Astyanax mexicanus: one gene and its partners. The protein of the gene in region 2 purifies or fractionates together with the protein of the main gene of each other region. This does not show direct contact. Links are inferred from orthologs where the notes say so. Each region holds a gene or a part of one and is shown on either strand. Other genes may lie near its edges. The genes, in order: vps39, plekhm1, vps33a and vps41.

Region 1 (7,829 bases), on a different chromosome or scaffold from region 2:
TATAATGTTTGTCTAAATGTGTGTATGATAATGTACTTGTAATAGAGCCAATGTGGAATGCAAGACAAATTTTAAGGAAACTATAAACTATAAGTTTATATAAGTGTATCGTATTGTATTGTAGTGTATTGCAATTATCTAACATGTTTGGTGTTCACACGTTGCTTCTGTGTTTGTGCACTCATATACAATGCTAATGTTGTATGAATAATAAAAATTTATCTTAAAGTGCATCCAGGTCATCAATAAGAATACTTGATTTAGTTTATAGCACAATATGGTTTCTATAAACAATAACAATGAACAAAGTAACTAAATGCTAGAGAAACCTATTTAAACACAATGACTGTTTGTTATGATCCTTTTGACAGTAAGTCATAGTGCGTCCTAAATTAAATCATTAGATTTGCGCAACCTTAAAGAAGGTTGAGATATGGTTTGAAGAGGTAAAATATTTTTTAATGTAATGTTAGCTCATAGCTGCAGCACTAAACTGCAGAACCAGAACAAACATACCAAATATGTCTTGGATGGAGCTACTTTGGGGTAAGAATAGAAACTGGGTAAATCAGATTCTTTTTCGCTGAGCTATTTAAAAAATATATAAATGCACTTTAAAAATATGGATTCAACATACTCGAATCAGGTAGTAATCACGTTTGAAACCAACACATATGGAATTTTCACACCAGGCCATGGACTTGGGAATATCTGGTACTGCTAAATCTCCCTACAAGACACAATACATTTTTAAGAAACAGCAATATGACATTATTTAATCAGAAAGACAATTAATAAATTACCACCTTCAAACTTACCTGCAGCTCATGGAACTCCCTGTCTTTCCAGTAGTACAGCTGTAGTTTCTTTTTTACAGCAACACACATCCGCAATTTTGCTTCACCGGAGGAGGTTTGCTAAGGAAGGCACAAGAAAACTCAACTTCATGCAGTAAGAATGTGAGGGAAATATGTATTAATAAAGACTGGTTTGTCAACACTGGTTATATTATGTAGTTTAATAAATACAATGAATTATTCAATGTGCAGGAAAGATTTAGAGTCATGATTGACAACAGCAGAGTCATGAGTCATGATTGACAACAGCACACACACACACACACACACGCACGCGCACATCCATACAGACCTGCAAGTCACAAGCAAAGAGTGTAGCTCCTCTAGCCTTTGATACAACAGTAATCTGCTGAAAAGTGAGTAGGTCATGGACGTGGATGTTATTCTCTGAAACAAACAAGGATACAAAACTGATTATTACATGATGCACAGTGTGTTAACACTACTGAAACTTGCTAAAGCAAAATTTATAGTGAGAACACATATTCAATAACAACAGTATACAAAATAAACGTAAAGTCTTACCCAGCAGACTGACCAAAATCTTGTACTGGGAAACAACATACAGCTGGTGGTGGAAAAGAGAATTGTCAGAAGTCACATGTTTATATTAAAGGGGGCACTCCAGCCAAAAGGAAAAAGGTAACCATCCTTACATTTGTTGTAAACACACATACTCCTGCACAAAGATGGGCAAACCACATTTCCCTGCTGTAACAAACCTTCTAAACTTGGCAGTTAACAAGTGAGTTGAGTTAGGAGTACTTATGCAAGAAAAATAAAAAAGCAGGAATCCAGCACCCCCAAGACTGCAACTTCCCACCATTGCTGTATAGTGGTAAGTAGATTTAAAGACAAGTATAATTCACTTCTATATTCATTTTTATTTGAAATGTGCATGTAAAACAACACTAAACAACAACTAAACTACATAGCATTTTGAATAGAGACTTTCCATTCAAAAAGGAAATATAGTCCACAACCTAAATTAATCTCTCCCTGGGAAACTGACCCAAAATGTCAAGTGCCTTTTTAGACAGAAACAAGCATACCTGCTGTATCTTCTTTGAGAAGTTCTTGTTGGATTTCTCAAGTGTTACTTCAAATCTATTCGTACCTGTATGAAGTGAGATCAAAAGAGACAGAATTAAAAATTATAAATAAAGTAATCAGAGAGTCTTATGCCTCTTAATGTCCTACCTGCATCCTTCTTGATTCTGTAGAGAAGGAGGTGGCCTGGTTTTGTACCCACAAGCAGCCAGTCCTCTGCATAAACAACATGAACATATTGTAGAACATTTTCAACATAGGTGGTTTAAACACAACGTCTGTTTAATTGTGTTAATGAACTGGGAAAACCTTTTAGCTACAGTATCAAATGCAACTGAAGCAAGGGAAGCAGACGATAAGCAGATGAGCAATGCTATCTGATAGTTGTAGCATTTCCTCACAAATTCCCACAAGGATAAAGATCAATCTTACCCCAGGCCGCAAGGCAGTCGATCTGTAGGGGCAACTTCTCCAAAATAGGTACGGGCTCATAGGCGTCATGCATGGCGGCAGATTTAGCAATCAAAAAGCTAGAAAATAAAACGACTTTAAAGAAAAGTGGAACTGTAAGGTTTAGGTGGCATCTGCGAACCGGGAAGCTGATGAACTGAAAATAAGCCCTTATCGAGCCTAGCTATCGTTCCCTAGCTCACAGCAACAGTGCTCAGAGCTCACATACCAGTTACACAACCCCACTAATTCTAATTAAACTTTCGGCTAACCCTTCTGCTCCATCTCCCGTATTTCCACCACGAATGTAAAAAGTGTGACAGCGTCAGAAAGTGAATATATCACGGGTACAGTGAGCGCTAGCGGCGCGGCTAATTAGTTAGCTAGCTAGCGCTGCTGTATAGAGCTGCCATGGCTAACGCTAGCTAGCTCCTTTAGTCCGAGTGTCAACAAAGCCACAACTGAACTAAATACATTTCATCCCATATTCCGACTCAGATAAGTTCGTGCCAACCTCGGAACCCCCTAGCTATTCCCAGAGAACACCAAACCCCCGGTAAAACAGGCCAGTTCGGGGTGTTGACAGTTTGTAGGCTCGCTAGCTAGCTAGCCAACTCGCAAAGAGCTGTGACCGACTCGTAAACGATTCATTCATTTCAACCGATTCCTTCCAGTAAACAGACCGAACTGGTTCAACTGCATTACACACTCACAAAGTCACACACAGAACAAAGCGGATTGAATTTACTATTGTATTCATTAATTATGATTAAAATAATATTAAAGAAGCAATGCAACAAATGGTCTATTTAATCTGTTTTTGTTTGTTTTGTTTTGTTTGACTTAAGAACTAGAATAACACGAGACATTTTCCACTACTACTTACTATATACAGCTCCGGAAAAAAAAATTAAGAGACCACTTTAGTTTCTGAAACACACTTTTAGACAGTACTTTGTTGGTGCTGCACTGTCTATTTTATTAGTATGTCTCATGTCTGTTGTATTTATTGTAGTATTTTAGCTATGTTGAACAGTTTGTGGCAGGTTTGCCCTTTTGTTGTCTATATTGTACAAGATAAAGGAACGTAATTCCATTGTACTGTACTCAGATAAAATTACAATAAAAGTTTCTGGACTTGAAAAATCATGTTGACATTTTTGAACTACCCAGCAAAATATAATTATAGCTATATGAAGGAATTGAGGCTTCGAGAATTTTAGGCTTGGAAAGAATCGGTTCCTTAGACTGAATCAAACTCCCCGTGACTCTCGCTCAGCTGTGTGAACGCTTTCAGCGCCGTGACAGGCACGTGATATACGTCAAAGCTCACGAGAGCCGAATTACACGTTACACCTCAGCCTATACATACAGACATACACATGTTATGCTGTGTTTGGTTTGCAGTGTTTCTTCGTGTAATATTTTATTGATATGTTTAAAGTAAAGTATGACCAAGAATGCCTCTTTTCATCAACTCACTTATTGTTAAACACCCCAACAGACAGTCATTACAGCTATATGAAATTATTTTGTGTAAGTTGGTAAATATGCTAAATGTAAATATGTTAAAACTGAACTGAATATAGTATTTAGCTGATTATTTACAGGCCATAGCAACATTGTTAAGCACCATTTTATCTTTCAGTGTTTAATTTCTTTTCCAAACGTAACAAACTGAATTAAAATACATAATTGGTGGATTCTGAATACATTAACATAATTCTTAACATCTTTTTTCCCCATTAGAGCTCAGCATTAATGTACAGTATATATAAACACGTATGTTCTAACATATATTAGTGTGTATAGTGATGAATATACAGTCAACAAAAGCACAATGATTAAAAAGTCAAAGTAAATTTTATTATTTTTCAGCCAAACCTCAACAGAGACAAACACAACACCCCCTTCCCATGTCACCAGTAAAGCTAAGGCAATTAAAAAAGAAACAAGCTAACAAGCATTTGATGTACAAAAAATATATCTTTCCACAAATCTTTTATGTAAGAATGATTAACTTTAAAACATAAATATATGCATATAATTAAATGCTTAATAAATGTGTAATTTCAAGTGATCTTATACACAAAAAAGACAAGCTGTGTCAAATTCTTTCCCAAAATAATTGAACCCAACTGTAGACACCCATAGCCAGTGTTGAAATGTTATGCAATCTGCCTTCTAATCAGGCATAAAAAAGATGAAAAGTCAAACCTAGGATTGGTTATCGTAGTTAGATACTTTCATGGCACGGACTGAACAATATCAATACTTGAGAGAGTATTGGCAATGCCAAACTTGAATACCTAAGAAGCGAATGTAATCAACAGCACTGAACCAATTAGTCCACATGTTACCAAATATAACTGCAGATTGTCTAACATACAATCTGTTTGTACATTCTTGCAGTTTTAAGCCACATCCACTTTCTGTTTGTAATTTGAAACAAGATATTGGAAAAAGTATTGTTTAGGAACTGGTAATGACATTAAGGTATAAGTACTGATTAGGTTATTAAAAAGGTTTGGATGGTATTGAGTCAAAATTAAATCTGTCCACATGCTTAAAGAAAGCACAAAAATACTTAAATAAGAAAAGTTGCACAAATAGAATCCCAGCAAAATACCCAACAAAAACAATAAGAAATGGCAAAGAAGATTGACAGATTTCACATTTAGCCTGAGACATATTTCCACATTTTGCCCCAGACCAGAAACTGTCTCAAATGAAAACACAGTACTCCAACCAAGGGTTTCAACTGAGTGACATTTATCATCACTTTATAAGTTCTCAGCTGAACTGGAGGAATAAATATCTTGCTTTTATGCACCTGCATGAAGCCTACTCCATTTTGGATCTCTCCATCCTGGTGTTTAGAATTTCCTGTTAGGAGGAAGGGTGGGCAGACACATACAAGATTAAGGCCTGTTGAGTAATGCTACTGTGAATCATCTGACTGTGAGCATATAATGAGTAAAAATGTGACCATGATCATGAGACACAAAAAAAGCAGTCACTTTACCTCTTCGTCATCCAACACCACAGGCAAAGCTCTGTAAAAAGAGGGAAGCGTTGCACTCAATTAGAATCACAATAAATAGGTTCACTTCCTATAGCAAAACACAATGATTTACCACAGGTCTGGCCAGTGCTTCAACAGTTTGTAGATATTCTGCCCTGCAGACCTTAGCTCCAATGCTAACACACCTGACCCAGATAATGGAGGCCTTGAGAAGCAGTTAAATATTAGAGTCAATTGTGTTTGATCTGAACTACGTAAAACCTGACAAAGACTGGACACCAAAGAATAAAATTAACTAGACAATATAATTTCTTGGTAAAGAAATCATTGCTTGAGAATTTACAGCTACCGGTCAACACTGCTGCATGAGTAATGCCACCATTTTCTCTCTTTTTTTCCCCACAGTATTCATAGTCCTGTAGGTAGCGTTATACAAAGTGACATATTTTGGGAGAGTAAATTATGCTTTTTCCATACCAGGATTCATATTTTCTAGGGTTATTTCTATGGTTGTAGAATTTAATTGTTTAATTGTAGGTAACATCTTTATATTGTGCAAGGTGTTAGTGGAGCTCTACTCACACATCGACTACAGTTGTAGGAATGTTATCTTCCACCCATTTCAGGTCATCATCTTGGGAGCTCTAAAGAACACGGAACAGGAAAGAAAAGAAAAGTGAGGTGACGGTCAACCATCATAGAAGTATGTGTAACATGGATATTAAGTTCTCACCTCTTTGCCGAGTAGTTTTTGACTTGCGTGTGTGTCTGACTTTGCTCCTCTCATTTTCATTCCCTCTGAAAACAGAGCACATGGCAACACGTGAGACATTGTTCCATTTAAAAACTGTGGGCAGGGTGGGCATGACAATAAGAGGGCAAAATATCTTATTAACATAATAAAAATATCTACATGTGTTTTGTCTGATACAGACTCTCAAACACTACAATTCCTTGCTTTGTTGAACAGCATTATTCTGAACATCCACATTTGCACATTCTGAATTACTGAATTACAAGCCTAACTGATCTCTATATTGTACAACAACCATTAAATCATCTTTGTATATTTTTTCATTCTTTATACTTCATCTGTGTGTGTTATATTCATATCTTATTGTTTTGTGTTGTTATGTCACTGCTAGTTGTACCATGTGTGACTATGTATGTGACAATAAACAAACAATAGACAATAGACAAACATGATCAACATATTTATATCAGATTTTCATTTTCTGTTGCACTATATCAGCTTGTTCTCTGTTTCTATCTTCTGTTATTGACATATTTTTCCTGTTTCTGACAGTTTTCAGCATGTGCTTTTGCATAGTTTTAGTTTCTGTCTGGTTCTCTGTTTTCTTCTCCCTTTTTGCTTTTATTTTGAATCTAAGGTTTTGTTTTTTGGAGGTTTTGATTCTCATCTGTTTTTGGGCTATTTTCCTCCATTTGTCCTTAATATTAACACCTTTCCTTTTTTAATCGAGAGTGTGAATTCAATCTGTAATGCTACAAATGTCACAATATTTTTTTTCATAATAAATAAGTAACATCATGTTGTAATATACTGCCCATCCCTATGTTTTTGTCCAACATAAACAAAACAAATACTACTATGGGTATAGAACAGAATTTCCTTTTTTTGTATTTTGTGGTTGAACGAATTCTATCAATATACTGATATTTACCAAATGCTTCATTAAGCATAGGTTCCTTCGCTTCATCATCCTCATCATCTTCCTCATCAATAAGGGGCGAATGGGAAAATCTATGCAAAGAATATGGTCATTTTTCATTAGTTACACTCATAAGTTACAGATACATCATGCAAGCTTTCAGACAGTGTGAAAGGTTACATATCACTCAAGGTTACATATGCATTCAAGGTCATTGCAATAATACACAGTAATTCAGCTAACCTTTGGCTATTGACAGAGGGCCGCAGTAGCACCATAATCACCAGCAAGATGGTGGAGAACAGCAACCTCCAGAAAGCATCATCCACCCACAGTTCTCTCCAAGCCTTAGGAACCAAAAACAAAAGCACAATCTCAGCCACAGACATCACAAACTAGAAAGAGTTTTTCACCGATATCCTACTCACTCTCTGACACTCCACAATCTTGAACTGCTTGGTGGTCCATACGATGAAAATGATAGATGCTACAGTATAATATAGAAGTATAATATTAAGTAGAACATTAGTATAATGCATTTGGCTTGTTATTACTTGTATTGGCAATTCTTTTAAACACGTATTCCCGAATGCTACCAAATGCATGCAAACACATAGCACTTACCCAGCACAGAGAATATGAGGGTGTTGGTAAAGTGCTGATATAAGGAGAGCTTCACCACATTTCTGCGAAGCTTCAGAAGGCGAGTAGTCTGAGACAAACTGATGAAAATGTGGAATCCAGCTGTTAAGGACACTGACAGGTTCATTTTCT
Region 2 (6,891 bases):
GGGGGGTTTAGTGTGAAATGCTCTGTTCTAGAGAAACTAATCTACTTTAATTCTTTACAGAAGTGGTGAATGGAACAAGGTCATGATTAAATGATTACAACACAAATCTACAACATTTAGTTTAATATCCGAACCCACCATTGAACATGGTTTTATTTTATTTTATACGGAATGTTGCTAATTTAGTTGCTAATAAAGATTTTTTTTCTGTCTATTTTTTGCCAGACAACAACGTCATGTACCGGTAATCCCTTGACCATAATCAAATTTTATGATTTTAAAATAAAACTGTTCTCAGAACTCTGGAAAATAGTGTCTCAGGCAGCGGGCAGTTTATTCATAACATTTGGTGTTATAGCTTTTAGATACTTTGGACATCTTTTTCTATTCAACACTATTGTGAACAATTCTGACTGGGTATGTTTCTCAAAAATGCAGTGTTTTGTTGATTGGTCATTATTAAAACAAATATGTGTTACTTAAATTCCTCTTAAGCAAGGGGATAGCAGGTGTTTCTGGATGACCTGAATGGTGGTAAATTAGAACAAGAAAAGTGAATTTAAGTATTTTTTTTTAAAGTATACTTAACATAGACATGTGAATTATTCTAGAATTAAAATTTATGAATACTTTAATACATACTAAATGCAATATTTTGGAACAACTTACGTATATTTAAGTATACTTCAGTTGTAATTAAGCTATATTTAAATACAACATAAAGGCATTATTTTTTTTTCTCATATAACTTCTGTGAACTGTTAATACACTTGAAGTATATTGTAAATTTTGTAAATGCATATTGATGGACATATTGTGTTCACCTTAATGCTACTGGAACATAAAATGCACTAAAGTGCACTTTAATCAGTATTTAATGCCACTATATCTACTATATCTAACTATATTTTCTATCAACACAATGTTTAATTTAAAGCACAAAATAAGTTTTATGGAAATACAGAGAGGAAGTATATTTTATGTGTATTTTCACTGAGTATATTAAATTGAAAATGCCCTTTTAGTATTCTTTACCTAATTTCAACATACTTTTAAAACTCTTAAGTATAATTTCTTTTCACAAGGGTACCCTTGTAAAAAACCTTGTATTAAACAAAATTCCATTTTTTTATATCATCTATTTTAATTATTTTCCCATAATTTCCTACTGCTGTTGCCCTTTGTAAATTATTTAAGAAAATAATATTCAGATTTAGAAACATTTTATATTATTCAATATTATATTATTTATCAGTATTGTCTGTATCTCAGGTGTTTGTAATATTAGTAATAATATATAGTAAATCACTTGGTAAACAGTCTATAAGTGGTTGAATTTATTGGACCAGTGGATAAACAGTATTCTTGTTTACTGGCTCGTAGAATGAGGTAATTTTACACTCATAAAAACACATATTTCTTATGAATGATGAAACGTATTGTTTAAGTGTGGCTGAACTTTGGTATAGGACTGTACATTAGCTGGTTTTCTGTCGTCATGTTGATGACGAAACATTGAGGAAATTCCCGCCCAAATGCCCAAGTATGTAATTCCTGAGAAAGAGAAATTGAAAGTATGAAGACTGTGCTGTTGTGTTTTTGTTTTTCTATTTTTGAGAGAACACCAAAATAAATCGACCAAAACACTAAAACAAAAACTATTTTAGATTATGGTCGTTTTTTTGTGTAAGTGTAGTTTTGTAGTAAAAATAAATGTTTATACAGTTAGATATGAGTGTGCATAATGGACCTAAATACCTACGTCACCCACAATGCATTGCTAAATCACAATGCAAAAGAAAAAACTAATAATAAACCTACAATCATATGTATTAGTATACATAAGAAAAGAACACAACAGTAAAATATATAATTAAAATAAAATGATAATAATTCGGGACATTAGATATAACCAATTGTGTAAAAAAAACTTTTATTTTTTTAAGATGTAGTTCCTAAAGCCGGACTTTTCTACGCAGTCAGGCCAGAGCGGGCGTCCTGTAAAACTACAACTCCCACAAGCCCCTCTCTGACTGCCGGACCAGCAGGTAGAAAACAACAGAAATCAGAGAATTCCTATATATAGAGGATTTCTGGCAAGACAAAATTTTTCTTTTTAAGGAAAATCATAATTTTTTTTTAAATGTTGATGATATAATATGTTTTTTTCTATATACTGATTCAGTGTGGAGTATATTGTAAATATTATGATTTTATTGATTAAATACTGTATACACTAGAAGTGTATATAGGACTTTCGGTCAAAATAAAAACATAATCAATATCTTGGCATTACGGTATTCTTGTAATATTTAGTGTATTTGCTTTTAATTATTTGTTTTCAGTTCATATTTGTGCACTAAATATGCAGCACTTTAGGTTTGTGGTAGTTTTTTGTTGTTACATTACTTTATTTGTGTTTTTTTATTTTGTTACATTATTTGTATTTTTATTTGTTTTTAATCTGAGTCTTGGTAAGTTACTGTTTATAAAATAGACGTATATAAAATAGACGTATATACGTTTATATATATATATATATATATATATATATATATATATATATATATATATATATATATATATATATATATATCTGTTTCTACTCATATAATATTTCTGCTAAATAAAACTTTAACATTTAGTTTTGTTGAGGTAGCATATTATTGAAATATTTTTTTTTCATGTCAATGCTTTGTCATATTGCTTATCACATCATAAAATTACCATGAAACGTTATTATATTATATTAGGGCCATCTCCTATCTCTAATTTACACAAATGTAAACTTTATATACACAAACGTAATTTTTTTATTTCAATGCCAAAGTTTTTTTGTGGACTTCACTAAGGTGTGTAGGTTACCAGAGGGCGCGCTCGAGTGTGTCTAAAAATAATGGGTTTATATAATTTATATATAATATGATAGTTTATAAATATTCAACACTGAATATTTAGTATTGTATATCTAGACATCATTTTAAAAGCTTTTAAACTTAATTTATAAGCCTTTCTAATATTTCTAAACCGTGCTCAGTGCTCAACTTTTATTGTGGAAAGAACATCAGACTGTGACCAGGGTTGCCAGGTTTGTAATTCTCCCGCCAAAGTGATTTTATTTGTAAATATAAGGGCAGGTAAAAAAAATGGCTACTTTTAAAATAGTCAGTGGCCACCAAAAAAGCCTTCAAAATATGGAGTGTCTTGTAAATAATTGACTTATTATTGGAAATATTTGAGAATTGTGGGACAGAGAAAAGATCTTTTATGGAATGATTAAAAACTTTTACACTAATGCACTTTCTAACACAGATGTCAGGCAGTAGAATATTTAAATCTGATTGACTTGTATCTATACAAAATTTCTTATACTTTTGTTTTAATTGCTTTGCTTATTTATTAGAATCTTTTTAACCCGTTAAGAGGCCAAGATTTTTGTCAATTGTCTGCCCTAAATCTGAATTTCCTGAATTTCTATTCAAGCAATACATAAAAAGCTTTCATGCTTGATAAGGAACGTTACTGAAAATGTAATAGAATTGTAATAGAAAGTATAGAAAAATAGTCAAGTAAATTTGCAACTGTCAAAATATTATTGAATAAAATCATAAAATTAGATCTTTCCTGAATTCATTTTGAAATCAATACAAATCTTGAATACAAATCAAACAGTTCGTGTCCTCCAAACCTTTAGTTTTATTATGTATGTCTAGTTTTTACATCTATTTTCAAACAAGCACAGTTTGGGCTAATTTGTTTGTTGTGTTTTAAACCCCAGTATCTATACTTCTATCTACAGAGTAATGAATGCCAATAATTTTGACATATTTTTAGTATTTTTAATGGATCTGGTAACCCTGCCTGTCACTGCCACCACAGTCGAGCGGCGGCCAGAGGATCTTCAGTACAGTGTGTAAATTACAGCGAGAGCGGGCCGACCCAGTACTGCTGCTGTTCCTGCTGTCTGTCTGAGTTCATCTGCCGCTCATCTGCTTGTTTTTAAGCTCGGTTAGGGAGACTGGAAGCTGCTGGATTTAATCTAAAACACATTTCCCCCTGTTCTTTCTGAATAAACTTCATTTAGTCCGTGACAGACATGATGGTAAGTGGATTTACTGCTCTGTTTGGGATCGCCAGCGTTAGCTAGCAGGGCTGATGATGAAGCAACATTGCTGTAGCTGTATAAACTTACATTACAGGCTAGCTTATATTAGTTTAACAACTGGCTGATGTGTTTTAATAAATATATAGAAGATAAATGGGTGATATATATAATATGAGTTATGTTGGCCAGTTGGTTGTTTAGCTTAGATAGCTCGTGTTATAACTTACATAAAAATAGATAACATAGGTTAGGTTAAATAGCTGGAAACTTGTGTGTCCTGCTTATTTAGTTAGCTAAACACCTGAAGGTGCAAATATGGGTTAGAATAGTTTTGCTAACCTATAGCCTTGTTTTTAATAAAATAAAAGTACTAGCTAGGTTAGCTTATGTGTCAAGTTAACAGACTTCTCATATCTGTGAATTAACTGGTTAGTTTAACTTAGTTAGCTTAGCTAAGCTAAAAAAGGCCCTCAACTTTATATTTTGTCCTCTTTATTTGTAACTAGATAGCTAAGTTACTTGTGAAATCCCGATTCTAGCTGGTGTTAGTTAGCTAATGCTAACATACAAGCTGTAAAGTGTTTAAATTAACGATAATAGTGCTAACAAGATAGCTATATGTCGTTTAATATGGGTAACTGGGCGATTCAAGCCCTTTTAAACATATAAAACAGTTTAAAAGAGACAGGTTTCCTCTTTGGAAATTTGCTTTAGGCTTTTACTAAATTCCCTCACTGCCGATGAAGGCAAATCCAGGTCCGAAAAAGTTCAAATCCACCGGGATTTTGCTCCAGCTCCCTGCAGCCGAGCTGTACACAGAGCTGCTCGGCCGGTTTGAGCGAAACCCTGGTGAGGATAAGTACATATACGGATCTGGATTTGCCGTTTATGATCTTTACAAGATAAAAGTCCGCATAGCCGTGAGAAAATACTTTTTTTAAATGTAAAAGTCTTCATGATTTTATTTTTTTTAGATTTACTTCACTTAAGATGCTAATATTACAAATATAAATAGAGCCCAGACCCATTTCTAAATATTCAGAAATTAATTATTGAATAAATTCAGTGAGCAGCTCATTCATGTTATTTTTTATTGTGGGAACTTTTTTTCTTAAATATTAAGAGCATATTTTCTTAAATAACACAACCACAATTTCAAAACTATTATTAGCATTTTGTTCTATAGATTAGGTGAGAACTTGTTATATGGACTATTTAAGCATTAAACTACTTAAGCATTTTAATGGTTAAAATGGTTGGAACAGACCTGTTATAGCAAAAAAAAAAAAAATACACTTTCAAATGGAGTCAAATGGAGCTAGTTTAGTTTTACCTACAGCACTAACCATAAAGCACCAAAACCATAAGGCATGTATGTAGTGATGCTCTCAGGGTCTTCAGTATATGTCACTTATGTAACTTTACACAGCTTTTAAAGCGTCTGTAACACATACATCAGCATGGGCTCTTTTGAGTAAAAAAAAATATGTGTATGAATATATATACATATATACCACCCCTGGTGTATTGTAATTAGTCTGTCAGTGTGTCAAAATATGATAAATATTGTGTATCGTGAAACTGTTTTTAAATGTTGTCAAATTATATTGTTACCACGCAGCCCTTTTTTAGTGATTGCGTACACCAAGGGTGATTAATGGCTTTTACACTGTTTAAATCTGTATCAGAATTGTATAGTTTCAACTAAAATGAAGAAATATATGGTGATATACATTTTGTTCTGATATAGATCGTTTTACTGTTTAATATAAACACTGGAATGCTGATTAACCAGCACCAGTATTCACCATCTCAACACGTCTGTTCCTCAGCAGGGATGACTTGTCTCCTCATGACCAAATCTTTTTAGATCTGAGGAAATTTCCTGTATCTGAGGAAAGGTCTCAGTAGCATTGTGTCATGAATCCCCTGTTGTGAAGTACAGCATGTCCTCATTCCCTTTCTTTATTTACTGACTTACATAATTTACTGCTGTGGTCATGAGCTTACTACTACCTCTTTGTGTGAGGAGGAGGAAGAGTGTACAGTAACAGTGATCGTCCCTTTGCCTTAGATTAATAAAGGATCCCTGAGACGTTCCTTACGATCTACCTAGTTAATATGTATTTTCCAGTACATTTTTTTATTTTAGATATATTTACATATTTAAAACTTAAAATATATGTTCAAAATCAATCAATTAATTAATCTTTATTTCACTCAGGAATATGTTGAGTGTAACCCTCATTTTAAGAACAAATTAAAGGACAAAAAAATAATATAAAAGAAAATCAAGTATTTGATCAGATTAAGCTAAAATAAGGAACTTTCTAAAAAAAACAATTAAAACAATATGCCATTAAAAACGAACAATGAAAGGTTTAATTAAGAAGAAATAAAATTATTTAAAATAAAAGGATAAGTGGAAAGGCTAAAATTTAAAGCAGTAAAATATAGAGATGCATAATTAGAATAAAAAAAACATTAAATGAGGTTGTGGGCTGTATGAATGAGAGATGCAGTTACTGAGCTGTTTGAGATGTAGCTGATGATGTTGATGATGATGATGATGAAGATGATGATGAAGATGATGATGATGAAGATGATGATGATGAAGATGATGATGATGATGATGATGATGATGATGATGTTGTTCTTGTTTTGGGATGTGTGGAGCAGAAGTGATGTGATCTGAACAGGAGTCATGCTCGCCACACAGACCGCTGACTCTGTCCCAGAGGCCAAGAATGCCAAGCAGGTCAGTAACCCCACCCTCTTTTTTTTAT
Region 3 (7,231 bases), on a different chromosome or scaffold from region 2:
ATAATACTATTAAACCATTTTACAGTTAAACTAACATTGTATTATTAAGAGCAGACATTGAGCTCCCATTATAAAATTACTAGTAACAAAAAATAGATTAGTAACATTTACATTAATACATTAATACATTATATGATCAAAGACACAGATGCCCAGCAGTCCAGAGCTCTTGCTACAAATGTATTTTTTAATGTAACTGTCAGACAAAATCCGAGCAGGAACACCAAAACGTTTACTGTGGGGCTTGAGGCAGGATCTCTCTGGAGGAACAATATATATATATATAATATTCAGCTTGGAAAATTGGGCTGGATTTTTGTGCTTTAAATTAAATTTTAGCTTTGTTTCCACTGCTTTAAAACAAAGACGACATACCGGCTCATTCACGCTGATGGTCTTATCGCTCATTTGGCTTAAAGCAAAATACTCTCACATCAGAGCCTTGAAACTTTAAAACAAAGTCTATCCGGACTGAACTTCTCTAAACCTTCTAAACCTTCTCTAAAGGCGTTTAGATTTGAGAAAGTCCTATTAGCCTTTCTTTAGAATACGTTCACCAGCCAACACATCTCCACACACTCTGTCTTCTCTGTGTGTGTGTGTGTGTGTGTGTGGGGTGGCATCGTCACTGATGTTCAGGCTCTGTGTGCACTACACTTGTTTCCTAACAGATGTCTGACAGATTCGTCTTTACCTCAGACAGAGAGCCGGTGAGAGATCAGCATTGAAATAAAGCTTGTGACACTGCAGAAGCTTATTGATATCAAAGCTAAACGTGGTCCATCCAACCAAATATTAATGTGTGACCTTTTTTTTTGGTGATGACTTTTTTTTTGGGCCAGGAAGTGTAGATCAAACTAATCTTAAACAGCAGATCAATGTCTTTTTTAGGTTTTTCTGTTTTATAAATGCTAATTGTTTGACAAATTAAGAGCAATATATAATAAAGCTGTGTAATGTGTGTGATTTTTCTCCACAAAAAAGTTATAATGCTTTGCATCTTTTTTAAGCGTGGCAATGTTGTGCGTCACATTCACAGCAAACTCAGTTGAGACCACAGATCAGACTTTTCCACACTCATTTATAAATATTTGTGTACAAAATATTCTGATCTCAGATCAGCTGCTTGCAGTTTCTTAGGTGTGTACTAAAATGCACAAAAAGGTTTTTTTTTTGTTTTGAGGCAGATTTTAAAGCAGGGTACTAAACAAGCTCTGTGATTAAAACGAACTGATTCAATTCGAATCTAAATTTTGAGTTTGATATCATAATTGTCTATAAACAGTGTCTTTACTAAACTCCCTGGGCACTTTTAAACCTCTGAAAATGCTGAAATTCTCTCTGCAATTGGTGGATTAACATGTTCACAGCTTCATTTTAGGTTACTCTCACTTTACCAAACACAGTAGAGGCACCAAAATGAGCTGCATGCAGTTTTTTCTCTCAATACTCCAGTCCAGAGATACAAACTTTACAGCGAAGGGAGATTTTGGACCAGGCCTGGACCAACAAGCACCTGGTGGGAATATTTTGAAAATGAAATAGTTGTTTCTGAGGAGTGACGAGAAAACCTTGAATGTCTAGAGAATCTCTTGTGTCTTTGAGTAAAATGCTTCGACCTTGCATCGAAGGGGAAACAACTGTTGGAAATCGCCTGTGGAAGTTTCTTTCAGTATTTAGTAGTATGACCTTTCCGTGTGGACAGTAGGGGTGTGCCATATCTTATCATACGCAATAATATTGCCAACATTTTTGAATATCGTAACCAATATTATACCCTGAAATATCGTGCCAGATCACCCACCCCTGGGTACTACTTTTTTGCAATTTTTAGCAAAATAAAAATTCACACTGTTTTTTAATTATATCTGTCCAGATTCATTTCATCTTACTTTAATCCTGGATATATGGAGATATATGGAGTGCATTATTAGTATCATAACATTCTGGATCATTGTCTTCTGTTACAAAGCTGATAAAATTACTGTATTTTTAAATCCCTCAATTAGGGGTGTGATATATAATATGCAAATATAAAAATTAAAATGTATTCTTGAAAAAGATATATTTTTTTAATTCAGTGTTTTGTCGTATTGGCAAGAGTACTGTTAATTTGAAAATACCATGAAATATCATGATATTATTTTAGGGCCATATAAACCGCCCCTAGTGGATGGGGATATAAAAAAACCTTGCTTTTTAAAAATATCCAGATTGATGTGGACAGGGCCTCAGTGCCTTGTTTTAAATGTCAGGGCCCTCACAGTTCTACCAATGAAGTGTGGAGCTACTTTGAGTTTGTTAATGGTGTAAAGATAGTGATTTCTCTGCATGAGTAATGCTATGCCCCAATCACTACCACGGTAAACCTGTTGGGAGCATCGGCTAAAAGTGCTGTGTTTGGTAGTTGGAAATGCTGGGGGAGAACGGAGGGGGATTATTTGAGAACAGTTCGTACTAGTTATTGTGTTTCACTACAACTGAAGTCCATGTCGTGCTGGATTTCTCCTTTAATATGGTAAAATAGGCGGATGTGAAATGAAAACAGAGTAAAGCCCTTCCTCAGTGTACTGAGTACATGATTAAACAGCAGTGTAGTATCCAGGATTAACACTGTTTCATATTAAACACGCGTATGTGAATAACTCCTGCTATATATAAATAAAGATAATGATATATATATATATATATATATATCTATATCTATATATGACAGCTGTGAATCAGTGTATATATGTGTTATTTTATGATATTAAACAGTAGCTACACGGTGGGCTGGTGATCTGATGGGAGCTGTGATGGTTAGTTAACGTTAGTAAACACCGCTCTGTAAGCCCGTACCCACCGCCCCGGACTGTACCTTACTCCCCGCGCACTTATCCAGAAACTCCCGCAGCTCCTTCCGCGCTGCTTCCCTCAAAATGTTCAGATTCACTCTGCCGTAAGACAAGTGCGCGGCCATGTCTCCTCCTCACAGCAGCGCCACACTCATCATGTGATGCGGGAGAGTCACGTGGGCAGAGCGGCTTCAGGTTTAGGACAGTCAAACCTCTGAAATCTAGAGATTTTTTACTATTCGCCCAGTATAAAACATGCTGTCAGTAGCTAAAAGAAATATATTTTTCTTTATTATGTTACTTTATTATGAGTTATGTGTCCTGCGTCACAATATATTAATAAAGTCGCAGCGCAAAACTGTATTACCCAGCAACACTAGTTTTAGTACAATTTCTTACTTTTTTTTTACTTTTTATCTACGTTATTTAAACGTTTTTATATGTTTCGAAAAGCTTTCAATCAGTTTTAAACTGTACATATTATTAAACTAGTTCATATTATTTCATTTACAGCCTCAAAACTGATTTTTATTACATTTAAGGGAACTTTTATTTTGACAGGAAATCGTTTTGGACACCTGCCAAGTGTTGCTAGAATCACAATGCTGTAATAAGCGCGCACCGCGAGAGGGAGCGCGCGAGTCACTCCTAAATTAATAGGTGAGGGGTCTGTCTGCAAAGCCGCAGATTTACATATACAGCTCTAGAAAAAGTTTCTGAATCAGTTTCTCTGATTTTTTACTATTTATAGATATATATTTAAGTAAAATAAACATTGTAGTTTTATTCTATAAACTACAGAAAACATTTCTCCCTCTAAATTGTCATTTAGAGCATTTATTTGCAGAAAATGAGAAATGGCTGAAATAACAAAAAAGAAGCAGAGCTTTCAGACCACAAAGTTCAGAAATCAATATTTGGTGGAATAATCCTGGTTTTTAATCACAGTTTATATGCATCTTGGCATGTTCTCCTCCACCATTCTTACACACTGCTTTTGGATAAACTCATGCCACTCTTGGTGCATAAATTCAAGCAGTTCAGCTTGGTTTGATGACTTGTAATCCTCCATCCTATTCCAGAGGTTTTCAGTTTGGTAAAATCGAAGAAACTCATCATTTTAAAGTTATCTCTTATATATAATTCTTATGCTTTAAACATATTTTTTGCATAATAAATGCATAATAATAAAGTTAAAATACACATTTTAGTTTTGTCCCTTAAGGTGTCCAGCAGTGAAACTCCGGTTCAGACTTTCAGCTTCGACCCGGTCAGGAGCACCACTAACTGATTTAAACCCTGACAAAACTCAACTGTCAGATATTTATATCACAGTGTAAGTTTCCTCTAATGTGGTCTAGTTCTGTGTGCTGGGATAGAGAGCTGCCTTATCTCCTACATGAGTTTAGTGTCTGTGTGCACAGATATCCTTCACCACACTGGATTAAAATCTGTATCTACAATAAATTATGTTTCAAAAAAGAAAGAAGAAGAAAAAATAAAATGAAAAACTAAAAAATAAGTCTTTTTTCATTTTTCTTTATCATTTTTGTTTATTGCGTTATCATAATCAAGTAATAATTATTTGATCCCATGCTGATTGTGTAAGTTACAAAGACACAAACATTCTATCTTTTTTGTGGTATGTTTAATTTAACAGATGTTTAATTATTATTTTTTACATCACTATAATGTAAGTCATAGTTCAAGCACAAGAGTGTTATGATTAAGCACAAAAAAAATGAATGTCAATGATTTTTATATGATATTTCTAATTTTTATTTCTACCTTATTCAGTGGATGGGTCACCATGTCAAGATATGTCTACAGAGATTTTATTTACAATTCTACTCATATGCGGAAAAATAGTGAAGAATATAAAAGAAAAACGTAAAAGTTATATATATACCTTATATGAATGTTAAAAGTATGTTTTAGACCAAAAACTAGGCATCAGATCTATCTATTTTGAGTCCAGATAGGCAATATGATGAGAATATGATGACATATTTATTAATCACAATATGCATCATGGTATTTTGACATTTTTTAAATGCAGCAGTAGAAAGAGATCCTTAAAATGCTATTCCAAAACTCGCCCATGCCCGTTATAGTGATTTACAGTGCTAATTCATCTAATTCATCAGGACTAATTATACTCTCTGTAATGAAATGTGCTGCTGGTCACAGTTCTTTAAGCACTGATAACATATCTGTAATATACTCAGAAAAGAATACTGTATTAGTATTCTAACACAATTTAGAATGACAGAAATCATACTGTCATATTAGCCTCGTCTAATTTCGATGAGGTTTAGGTGTGAACTCTCACATCACGTCTAAAACTGTGGACAAAGAACTGCACCCTAGATTCAGACAAATGATTGGAATCTTCAGGATCATAGTCTAGATTTCTGCTGGAGGGTTTCTCCAAAAAGTCGAGCAGCTTCCTCAGCACAGCCTCGATGGATCGTCAGGCCGAAGCCTCCATGACCGTAGTTATGGATGACCTAATGGAAAACAGCACAGGAAAAGTGAAAGATGCAGTTGAAGATAAATTTCTGAAACTTCTGCATTAGAAACTCCTGTAAAACTGCCAGAAAAGATATACTGTATATAAACAGTCCATGCTCTGTATCCTTTCACATTTATATGTTACACTGAACTTTTTTTATATAATGAACTACTTCATATTAGGTGACCATAGATTTTGTTACTGTCCGATAAAAAAGGAAAATAATAAAGAAAAGATCCTACATTTCCTACATTATTTAAACACTTCAGATTGTACTTTTTACTTTGTTAATGAACCAATAGAAAGGCTTCTGTCCAAAATGACATTTCTTTAAACTGACAGGTATTTAACGCAGTATTATTCCTGAGTTAGGAGCAGAAACAAAAATCTCTGAGAACTCACCTCAAACGTGTTCAGTCCAGACTTTATCTTCTCCCTCTCCAGCCTCACTTTACTGCGTACTGGTCTGAGACCAGTCCAGTCCTGTATGATCTGAGCATGCTGAGGAGAGACAGGACACACTGATGTAAAGAAGTGGATGTTGGTAAGTTCCAGCACATGCATGTACTGTACAGTACTGCATAAACATTCAGGACCATCCTCTGTTCATTTAATCTCCAGACTAAACCATCAGTAAGAACACCATACACTAAATTCAACAATGTTGAGGTCTGGACTCTGGATGGTCAGCGAAAAAACTCCACTTCAGAATGCATCTGCCCATGTCACTTATTCAGACTCACATCTGATATATCACACCTGGATCCTGTAGTCCAAAACCAATCCTTTATGCATACAGCCAATGAATAAACTCCATCCCAGAATGCATCTGACAGACACAGACATTATTCAGAGTCGTCTTTTACTGGATCAGACCAACTAATTTTCCATTCTACTCAAGTGTTTGACTTAAACACATCTGTGAATACACAGTTTGGGTTGTGAAATATTTTGAACAATAAAAAAGAGGGGGAGCACAGCGAAACAGGTTACTCGGTCAGAACATCTCCAAAAAACTAGTGGGATGTTCCCCGCCCACCTCCCAACGTACAGGACTTAAAAATCTCAGTCAAATACCACACAACACCTTCACCACAGGTCAAACGGTTAGATCTGCTGTTGTGGCACAAGGGGGAAATACTGAATATCTGGCAGATGCTGTTAATGATGTGTCCAACTGTTGTATGAGCTCTATGGACTGGCAAGAAAAATAAACATATTATATTAAAGTAATTTCACAATAAATACACTTTACACTACACTGGCAGTGGACATGCTACTCAAAACTGAAGAAGACCCCGCCCACATTCCTATCATCCTATCAGACAATCAGCCCAGTATAAATAAAAAATCTCTACTGTAATCTCTGTACCTTTAGACTGGGCTCCAGTTCACAGGCTTCATCCCACACTTTCTTGTGGTCGATGGAGCTGTTCAGCTCACTCCAGTTTCCCCGCTGGAAAATTCCACCCACAGTCACCGAACGACTCCTGAAGATGAAGTTCACAGTTAAATCCTCTTTAATCTACAGCTTCTGGTGTCTTAAAAGTAGCTTAAAGATATAAGTGTAGGACCATATGAAATCTGTTTAAATTCTTTCACTCTTTATTGCATTTTGCTACTTTTGAATTTAAGCTCACACACATTTCACACTGCAGACTGTACAGTAGAATCTAAACAGTCTGCACAGGGGGTTGGTGGTTAACACATTCACCTATCAGTGCTGGGGTCTTTGGTTCAAGTTCCTCTCTGGGTAATTGACCAAACTTGTCATTTGGCCTTAAGCTGTATTTTGTTTTGCTGGTAGTAAATAAAGTTATATATATTTATTGTGATCAACCTGACTGAAATGGTGGTCCCTGTTTACCCATTGCGCAGG
Region 4 (7,643 bases), on a different chromosome or scaffold from region 2:
AAGCAGGTAAACCCAAGAAGAAAGGAAAAATAAATAAAATACACCGATCCTTAGGCAGGATTGAACCCATGTCATCAGTGTAGCAGTCATATACACTACCGCTGCCCCAGCTAATGAACTGGGACACACCCAGGAAAAAACACCCTTATAAATAGGTAGGCAAGTTCCAAGTTTAAACTCCAGTGAATAACTGTGTTCACATTTTTGAAATGTTATACCTCCTCTAAACTTAAATGAACACTAACCTTATGCTGTAAACTATCAAGAGCTTTTAAGGTAATTAATTGTGTTCCTTGTGTTTTTGTAATAATAGGCTTCATGCAAGATTATTCCATAAATTCATATTTTTAAACATTTCAAGACCAAAGTAACCAAACTGAAAATTATTTAAAGAAAGCAAAGTAATCAAAGTAATGCTCTTTTCACCAATCACCTGGTGTGATGCTTTGCTGGAACAACTGAATAGTCTGTGACCATTACAGCTCATTACAAAAAGATGGTTGGATTTAGGTAACCTAGAGGAAGTACATAAACAAGTAGCATTGCGTAATAGGGGACTAGAAGTTGCAAAAATCACTTTTGAAATGTCATTGATATCCTAAGGATATTTAGATGAAAACTGATGATACTACTTGTGTAGTCCGAAGTACAACTGCCTTAATACAATGCTATGGCCAGCATTCAACATTCTAAATGTATTATGCTAACATTCTGTGCTAGCCACAGCATGAGACAGGGTGCTTTACCTACCAACTCTCATTTTTTGATAAAAAGGAAGTTTCTTGATTAAGAGGTAAAGAGGAAGTTACTGCTTCAGGGAGAGACATTCTGCCTTAATTCGTTGGCTTGAATGTTTTATTTTAATTTACACTTAATGCACTTTAATCAATATTGTAACACTTAATATGTTAAATCACACTGAACCGTGAAATACAGTACAATATAGTGCTGTATATGTGGCTATTGTAACTTTTGACAGAGACATTTTACTTAAATGAATTAAATGTGAATACAAACTGTTATATGTCTATATATTAAAAATAACCTCCAATATAAGTGTACTTATGGTACATCTTCACACATAGCACAAATATTGTATTAGAAAGTGTTGCACTGTATGAAGCTTTTAAAGTATCAAGGTAGAGAAATTATTTAGAGACTTAAATCATTCCTTTAATTTAATAAATAATTTCTTCATACATGAAGCAACTCCTACCAATCTGTTTAATAAATGATTCCCTTTGTTTAGCTACATTTAGAGAACGAATTGTCAATTAAGGGTAGGATTTATTAAACTGAAAGATAGGGCTGGATGATATCATTATCATTATCATATTTCCACACAGTAATGTGTTTTTTTTTTTTAAATCACACTCAGATGCAATACATTATGGTATTTTCTTTTTATGTTGTGCAAAATACTTTCAAAAATACTGTATAGATATTTACAATACATTTCCCGGCCCTAATAAAGATTTTATAGTGGATGTTTAAAAGTAAATAAAATAATGAATGTAGAAAATGTAAAATGCAATTATATTTATATTAGTGGTGTCAATTAAAATACTAGTATATACTTGTATGTTTGAGGGGAGATAAAGCCAATATGGAGCGCTGGAATGAATAATGCATGATGAATTGGATCGAGAAAACTTTTTTTTACTTTTTGAAACATCTCAGCTTGATTGTAAGGAATTCTAAATTAGAATTTAATTTGCTGAGTATAAAAAGGCCTTTTTACATCTGTAGTTTGTTTCTATGCTCTGGATCAGTTGATGAGTTTGTTTACTCTTCCTCTGTTTGGTTTGGTTTCACACAGGCATAAACCTGTGCACCAAAATGCTCACCAATAAACCACACAAGCACATGTCTCCTCTGATTGGCCAGAGCTGTCTGGTGCTGGAGCTGCGCTTTTAAACACAGTTTTTTCAATGGGACGTGCAACACAGGTGTGAGCAGTGAACGCTGCACATTATTGCGTGTGTAAACTGTGCCTTATCAGCAGTTAACTCAATTAAAAATAAGTATATTTCATAGCTGGGTTGGACTGAGACTAGATCATGATCTCTCCACAACAGATCAGTCCAGAAAAAAGAAATCTGTGCGCTGGGCAGTGCAGATTACGGCAGAAGTTGGGGTGAAACTTGGTGGCATATTTAATTTTTGTAAAAAAATAATAACACGTTACTGATTCCAAATTAATCGCATGCATTAACGCCTTAACATTGACAGCCCTAATAATAACTGATTACTGTATTTAAACTCAAAGTAAACAAGGGTTTGTTTATATAATATGCTCCCTAAATCCAAATCTTACCTCTGAATCATCTGTGGACTCCTCACTTGGTTTTCTCTCCTGGAAAAAAAGACACAGTCTTAGCTTCCCATTCAAATCTAGCTCAGTTAAATTACCTAGTTAGTCTAGCAAGAGTTAAGTGAATAGAAAAATTACTAGCGCTACCACACACATCAGTGTCTATATAGGATATAGACGTGTAAATGTACATAAATAGGATCTACTAGTAGTAGTGGTACCATAATAATAATAACTAGTAATGAGCTGAAGCTAAGAGCTGATATGAAGACAGTCAGGGGAAACTGTTGACACTAGCATTGTCCATACGTCACCGTAATAACAGTTCACACAATAAGCACATTAATCGCGTATTTTCGGTGAAACAGTCTGTAATGTAATGTAGTTAAACTGAACGCTCACCTTCTCCTCCAGTTCCGACATGGCTAAGCTAGTGTTAACCGCTAGCGTTAGCCTTAGTATCCGTCAGTAAGAGGAAACAGGCGCCGCAGAAATCCGGTTTCTACACTAAACTCTCCGTTTATAATCTTATAATGTGAAGAAAAGGCGAAAGGGAGCCGTGACCGAGCTCTCCTGTTAAACTGCACCTCTTCTTAGCCGTAAAAACACAGTAAAATCCTCAGTTTAAGCTAAAGCAAAGCAGCTGCAGCATTTTGACACTAGTCATGAGCACGGTCACATGACAACAACACAAGGAAAGAGCAGGGGCATGCTGGGAAATGTAGTTTAATCCCACTCATGCTTTCTGAGAGTTGGCTTGTAAGACGACCAAAGGTATTGCTCCTCAAAAAAAATATTTCTCTGTATTTCTTATCCTCATTGGGGAAAAAATACTTGGCTTGATATGGCTTAACAGCATATGGTATGTTTGTGTCTGACAAGCATGATCAAACTGAAGAAGCGAGACCACCAGTAACAACAACCAGCATACTTAAACCAGGATTAATTATGCTGGTTGACTAGCATGCCCACCATGACCATGCTGTTCTGCTACCTTCAATTCTCCTCGGAAATTCAGGTAAGTGATGTTTTTATCCCATTAGAACAGTGAATCATTCATTTTTTTAATGTATTGCAACTGATTTAATTGGTTAGCTAATAACAACCTGCAAGTGTTGAAGTGTTGTAGCAATAACAGAAATATAAACAGTTTACAGTTTACAATACAGTTTACAAAATTGTCTGCATCAATTTATTGACCTCTTGTTACTGACACGCCCCCAACTGGGAAACTCTAGGCTTATCTAACAATCTGAGTTTCCCACTGGCAAATATGAGTGTGTGGTGGCGTTTATGTGCTCGGATCTCGTAAATACTATATTTTCGACAAAATAATGGTTGACCAGCATGACCAACAAGGCGAAGCTGTTCAATCAGCATTACCAGCATGTGTGAGTAGCTGCCTTCAGTAAATCTCTTCCATGAAGAAGTTGGATCGTTCAAATTTACCATTCCATCTTAAATGCTGCAAAATTACCAGTCCTTCTTGAATGGTGCTAATTTACCATTTCACCTTGAATGCTGCTAATTTACAATTTTACCTTAATGCTGCTAATTTACAATTTTACCTTAATGCTGCTAATTTACCATTTCACCGTAGATGTTGCTAATTTACCGATTCACCTTACATGCTGCTAGTTTACCATTCCACCTTAAATGCTGCTACTTTACCATTTCACCTTAGATGTTGCTAATTTACCGATTCACCTTACATGCTGCTAGTTTACCATTCCACCTTAAATGCTGCTACTTTACCATTTCACCTTAGATGTTGCTAATTTATCAATTCACCTTACATGCTGCTAGTTTACCATTCCACCTTAAATGCTACTTATTTACCATTTCACCTTAAACGCTGCTAATTTACCATTCCACCTTAAATGCTGCTAATTTACCATTCCACCTTAAATGCTGCTAATTTACCATTCCACCTTAAATGCTGCTAATTTACCATTTCACCTTAAATGCTGCTAATGTACTATTTTACATTAAATACTGCTAATTTACCATTCTACCTTAGCTGGTGCTGTGGCAACACACAGGCTTCAGGCTGTAAGTTGCATTTTTAGGCGCTTGGACTTAACGTCTCACCCCGTCTTAACATCTTTATGTGGAATAAAACGTTCACATAAGAATCCAGGTTTAGTTTACTGTTGACTGATTGTCATTTCTGCACAACATAAGCAGAATTATATAAAACTTTTAAGGCACTTATACACATGCTGAAGGCTCAAGGTTTAGTGTTTGATTTATTAACTAATCCTCTAAATTCAGTGTTTAAATTGTGTACATTATGATATCTATGCTATGCTTTTTTAGTAGGCCTTTAAGGGTCTGGGCATGTGCCTTGCCTGATTCTGAGGAGATGCAAAAAGAGGTCATCATTCAGAGTTAATCATGATTCATCCCCAGGTAAGTGTACATCAGGCTCCATGACACTGTCCGAATATTCAGCATCCCTGTCTGTATAATCCTAATGACCCGGAGGAGAAACAGTCATTTTTATACCCTCACCCCAAGCTTATTCCTATGCGTTTGAGAGGACGGGACATTTGATTAGATTTACTTAGACATTCTTACATTTTGATTCGTAACAGACCGCTGCCATACACGGCCGTGGGATAGGATCATTTGCGACAGGCTGTCAATACGTCTTACATGATTATGCTGATGTGGTGTGGCAGGCCAAGAGGCAGGGTTACCATATTCATATACAGGAAATACAGGCCACAATATGGAAACTGCTGTTTGGGATTGAGGGCATACTATGGCATGTTGGTTTGTTAGACCCATACATTGAATGCAAAATTCAGATTAAATCTGAATCAAAGTTTTAGCTTTGTTCTTATTCTTATTTAAGTCTGGAATGTATGACCCAAAAACTACAAAAATGCATGAAAGGGATAACATGACTCACATCACATTTCACAGTTGTATCTTTAACATAATTTTTAATGTAAAATCTTCAGTAGGATGTAAAATTTACTGTACATACACAGTATGTTTATATATATTTATTGACTTGCTGGAATTTAAGCTAAAATTGTGTTGAGTGACAAATATCACTGCTGGCAGCATTTGCAGATGATGTAGCGATGATTCTTGCAGACATGGCCAACACATCTCACACAAAAAGTTGGCACCCTTCAGTTCGTGGCTGTTGGGCAGATTTCCCATTGCCTCGCTGTACTGTAGACAAATTGTGTCTGAAGCAGATTCTAAACAGCAACTGATACAATGAGACATGCATGGAAGAGGCATATCAAGTGATGTAATGTTGTTAAAATAATGTTTTGATAAAAAAAGATAAGAAAAGAATAAGCCTGGCACAATAAATGTTTTTATTGGACAATATATTATCCCACAAAAATTGCAACAAACAATATTATTGTCATTTTAAGAACATTTTATTCCACTGATATAATGAAGGGTGATTAAACAACTGTATGAAGATGTAGGTCTACAAGTATTGTGTGAGTGTATATGATCATGCAGAGTGAGATCAGATCCCGGTGATTCATGGAGAAGATAAAATACTGCAAACAATAAGTTGACAAGTAATAGCAAACAAGTAATAGTGCCATAATATTTATTCAATTTAGGAAAAAGGCAATTTCCATAATGCTGTTTTCCAGTGTATGATGTAGGTGTGATGTAAGTGAGCTACACCTACACAAGTCATTTCAGTGTTGTATGATAACTATATTAATAATCAATACAATTACAATTAATAATAAATACAATTTTTTATAATTTTCAATAATTAGACATGGAAAATATGTTTTTATTGTGTCAAACTGTGTTTTGTCAGAATTGATGTGTAATACTCTAATGCCATCTGGGCTCACACTTTTCATTCATACATTAATGGTAGTTGAAATGTAAATATATAAGATATATTGAATGGTTTCCCTTTGAATTGTTGCGAGGTCAGACTTTTACACTCTTGCCTGTAATGTCTGTTAAAGGCGGTGGTGACCAAATCTAGTACATGTGGTAAACAAGACAGGATCTGAGGAAAAATGCTAGATGAAACACACAGGCTTATCTCGTAGCGCAGACCCCGGCCTCGTACAGAATACACTATCAGTCTCGTCTGTGTTTTATGAGCTACTTCAGAGAGTGCTTTTTGCACCGTTCGACACCGCGTTAATGTCCACTCATCCATTATAGCTGTAGATTTCATCTGTATTATATTCCTGGCAAACAGCGTGGTAAATACTTGAAGAGCCCTCAGGTTCTGAAGTCGGGGTCACTTCATCAATGCATTATCCTTAGTATAACTGCTAATAATTGATGAGCAGAAGCATAGTGCTCCCCTGCTTACCACATCATTGGCTTTGGTCAGTCTACCTTTAGGCTGTTGCTGAATTATTCACTCCTTTTCCACTTCTTTTTACTACATGGATTTTATACCTGTGATGTTCGTCTAAGACAACTCTGACTTTTAAAAGAATTGATGCTTTAAAGACATTATTGTTCGACACAACGAAATTGAACATTGTTACTGAAATATAAAAAATCCAGTCTGTGATTTAAAATTATTTTCAGTATGTTTTAAACATTTAGTTTTTTTTGGACTTTTGGAAAAACTCACCGGCTTTCCAAAGTTAAGCAAAATTTGATACACTATAAATACCATAGATGCACTATAAATAGGATACTTTTTCTTGGTTCTACTACTGGTTCTACAAAAAGAAATGGGAACTGGTTCTAAAAGGGACAGAAAATATTTTTCATTAAAATAAAAAGGATGTATTTACTTTTAGAAAATTAACAAAATGTACCATTTGACCAGGGATGCTGATTTGAAGTTCCATGCAAGCTTTTACAACATAGGCTATTTATTTAATTATTATTTGCATCCAATTATGCATCCAAGTTATAAATAGAGATGCATTTTTCTTTATAATTGAAAATTTGAAATACCAACACTGTCCAGCACTTTTGTTATTAGGTAATGATTCTGGTATTTATTTGTAACAAATATAAAAGAAGATTCTTATGCTTCTTCTTCTTATTATTATTTATAGTATATTTGTATGCTATATTGCATAATATTCTGTTGAGGAACGTTCGGCTACAGTAATTTTTTAGGCATTTTGATTCTGGAGCGTTCTACAGCCAAGCTATTTTAAAAACGGTTAGAATCTGGCCAGATGTTATTTGGTTTGTGAAGAATCATATTTGAAAATGGGTGTGGGACTATTGTTTACCTCCAGTAGTTATACTGTAAGTGATTATGTGTACAGTATGTTTATGTGAATGTATGAGAGAAGTGTGTGTGTACTGGTGTGTAACTGTTGTAAATTATTGTAAATAAAATAAA

What was found.
Region 1: the proteins of plekhm1 (region 2) and vps39 purify together in Homo sapiens (co-immunoprecipitation; 3 studies listed by BioGRID and IntAct, with this or other methods). This does not show direct contact. The link is inferred for Astyanax mexicanus from reciprocal best matches to the Homo sapiens genes PLEKHM1 and VPS39.
Region 3: the proteins of plekhm1 (region 2) and vps33a purify together in Homo sapiens (affinity purification with western blotting; 3 studies listed by BioGRID and IntAct, with this or other methods). This does not show direct contact. The link is inferred for Astyanax mexicanus from reciprocal best matches to the Homo sapiens genes PLEKHM1 and VPS33A.
Region 4: the proteins of plekhm1 (region 2) and vps41 purify together in Homo sapiens (affinity purification with western blotting; 4 studies listed by BioGRID and IntAct, with this or other methods). This does not show direct contact. The link is inferred for Astyanax mexicanus from reciprocal best matches to the Homo sapiens genes PLEKHM1 and VPS41.

Annotation. Positions count from the first base shown.
Region 1 is NC_064421.1:20,441,322-20,449,150, forward strand, and holds the start of vps39 (vam6/Vps39-like protein), read right to left. Parts: upstream 3,004-7,829; 5' UTR 2,413-3,003; coding exon 2,340-2,412; intron 2,124-2,339; coding exon 2,058-2,123; intron 1,975-2,057; coding exon 1,910-1,974; intron 1,426-1,909; coding exon 1,383-1,425; intron 1,245-1,382; coding exon 1,150-1,244; intron 918-1,149; coding exon 819-917; intron 731-818; coding exon 638-730; intron 1-637. Other genes in the region: transmembrane protein 87A, read right to left, coding at 5,202-5,243, 5,383-5,413, 5,965-6,026, 6,116-6,180, 7,068-7,147, 7,299-7,402, 7,484-7,542, 7,680-7,786. UniProt on the Homo sapiens protein: Regulator of TGF-beta/activin signaling, inhibiting SMAD3- and activating SMAD2-dependent transcription.
Region 2 is NC_064422.1:10,630,908-10,637,798, forward strand, and holds the start of plekhm1 (pleckstrin homology domain-containing family M member 1), read left to right. Parts: upstream 1-3,886; 5' UTR 3,887-4,102; intron 4,103-6,784; 5' UTR 6,785-6,809; coding exon 6,810-6,863; intron 6,864-6,891. UniProt on the Homo sapiens protein: Acts as a multivalent adapter protein that regulates Rab7-dependent and HOPS complex-dependent fusion events in the endolysosomal system and couples autophagic and the endocytic trafficking pathways.
Region 3 is NC_064429.1:3,077,640-3,084,870, forward strand, and holds the start of vps33a (vacuolar protein sorting-associated protein 33A), read right to left. Parts: upstream 3,016-7,231; 5' UTR 2,963-3,015; coding exon 2,861-2,962; intron 1-2,860. Other genes in the region: D-amino-acid oxidase, read right to left, coding at 5,237-5,347, 5,755-5,853, 6,725-6,842.
Region 4 is NC_064408.1:103,282,611-103,290,253, forward strand, and holds the start of vps41 (vacuolar protein sorting-associated protein 41 homolog), read right to left. Parts: upstream 3,004-7,643; 5' UTR 2,738-3,003; coding exon 2,717-2,737; intron 2,357-2,716; coding exon 2,318-2,356; intron 1-2,317. UniProt on the Homo sapiens protein: Plays a role in vesicle-mediated protein trafficking to lysosomal compartments including the endocytic membrane transport and autophagic pathways. Acts as a component of the HOPS endosomal tethering complex.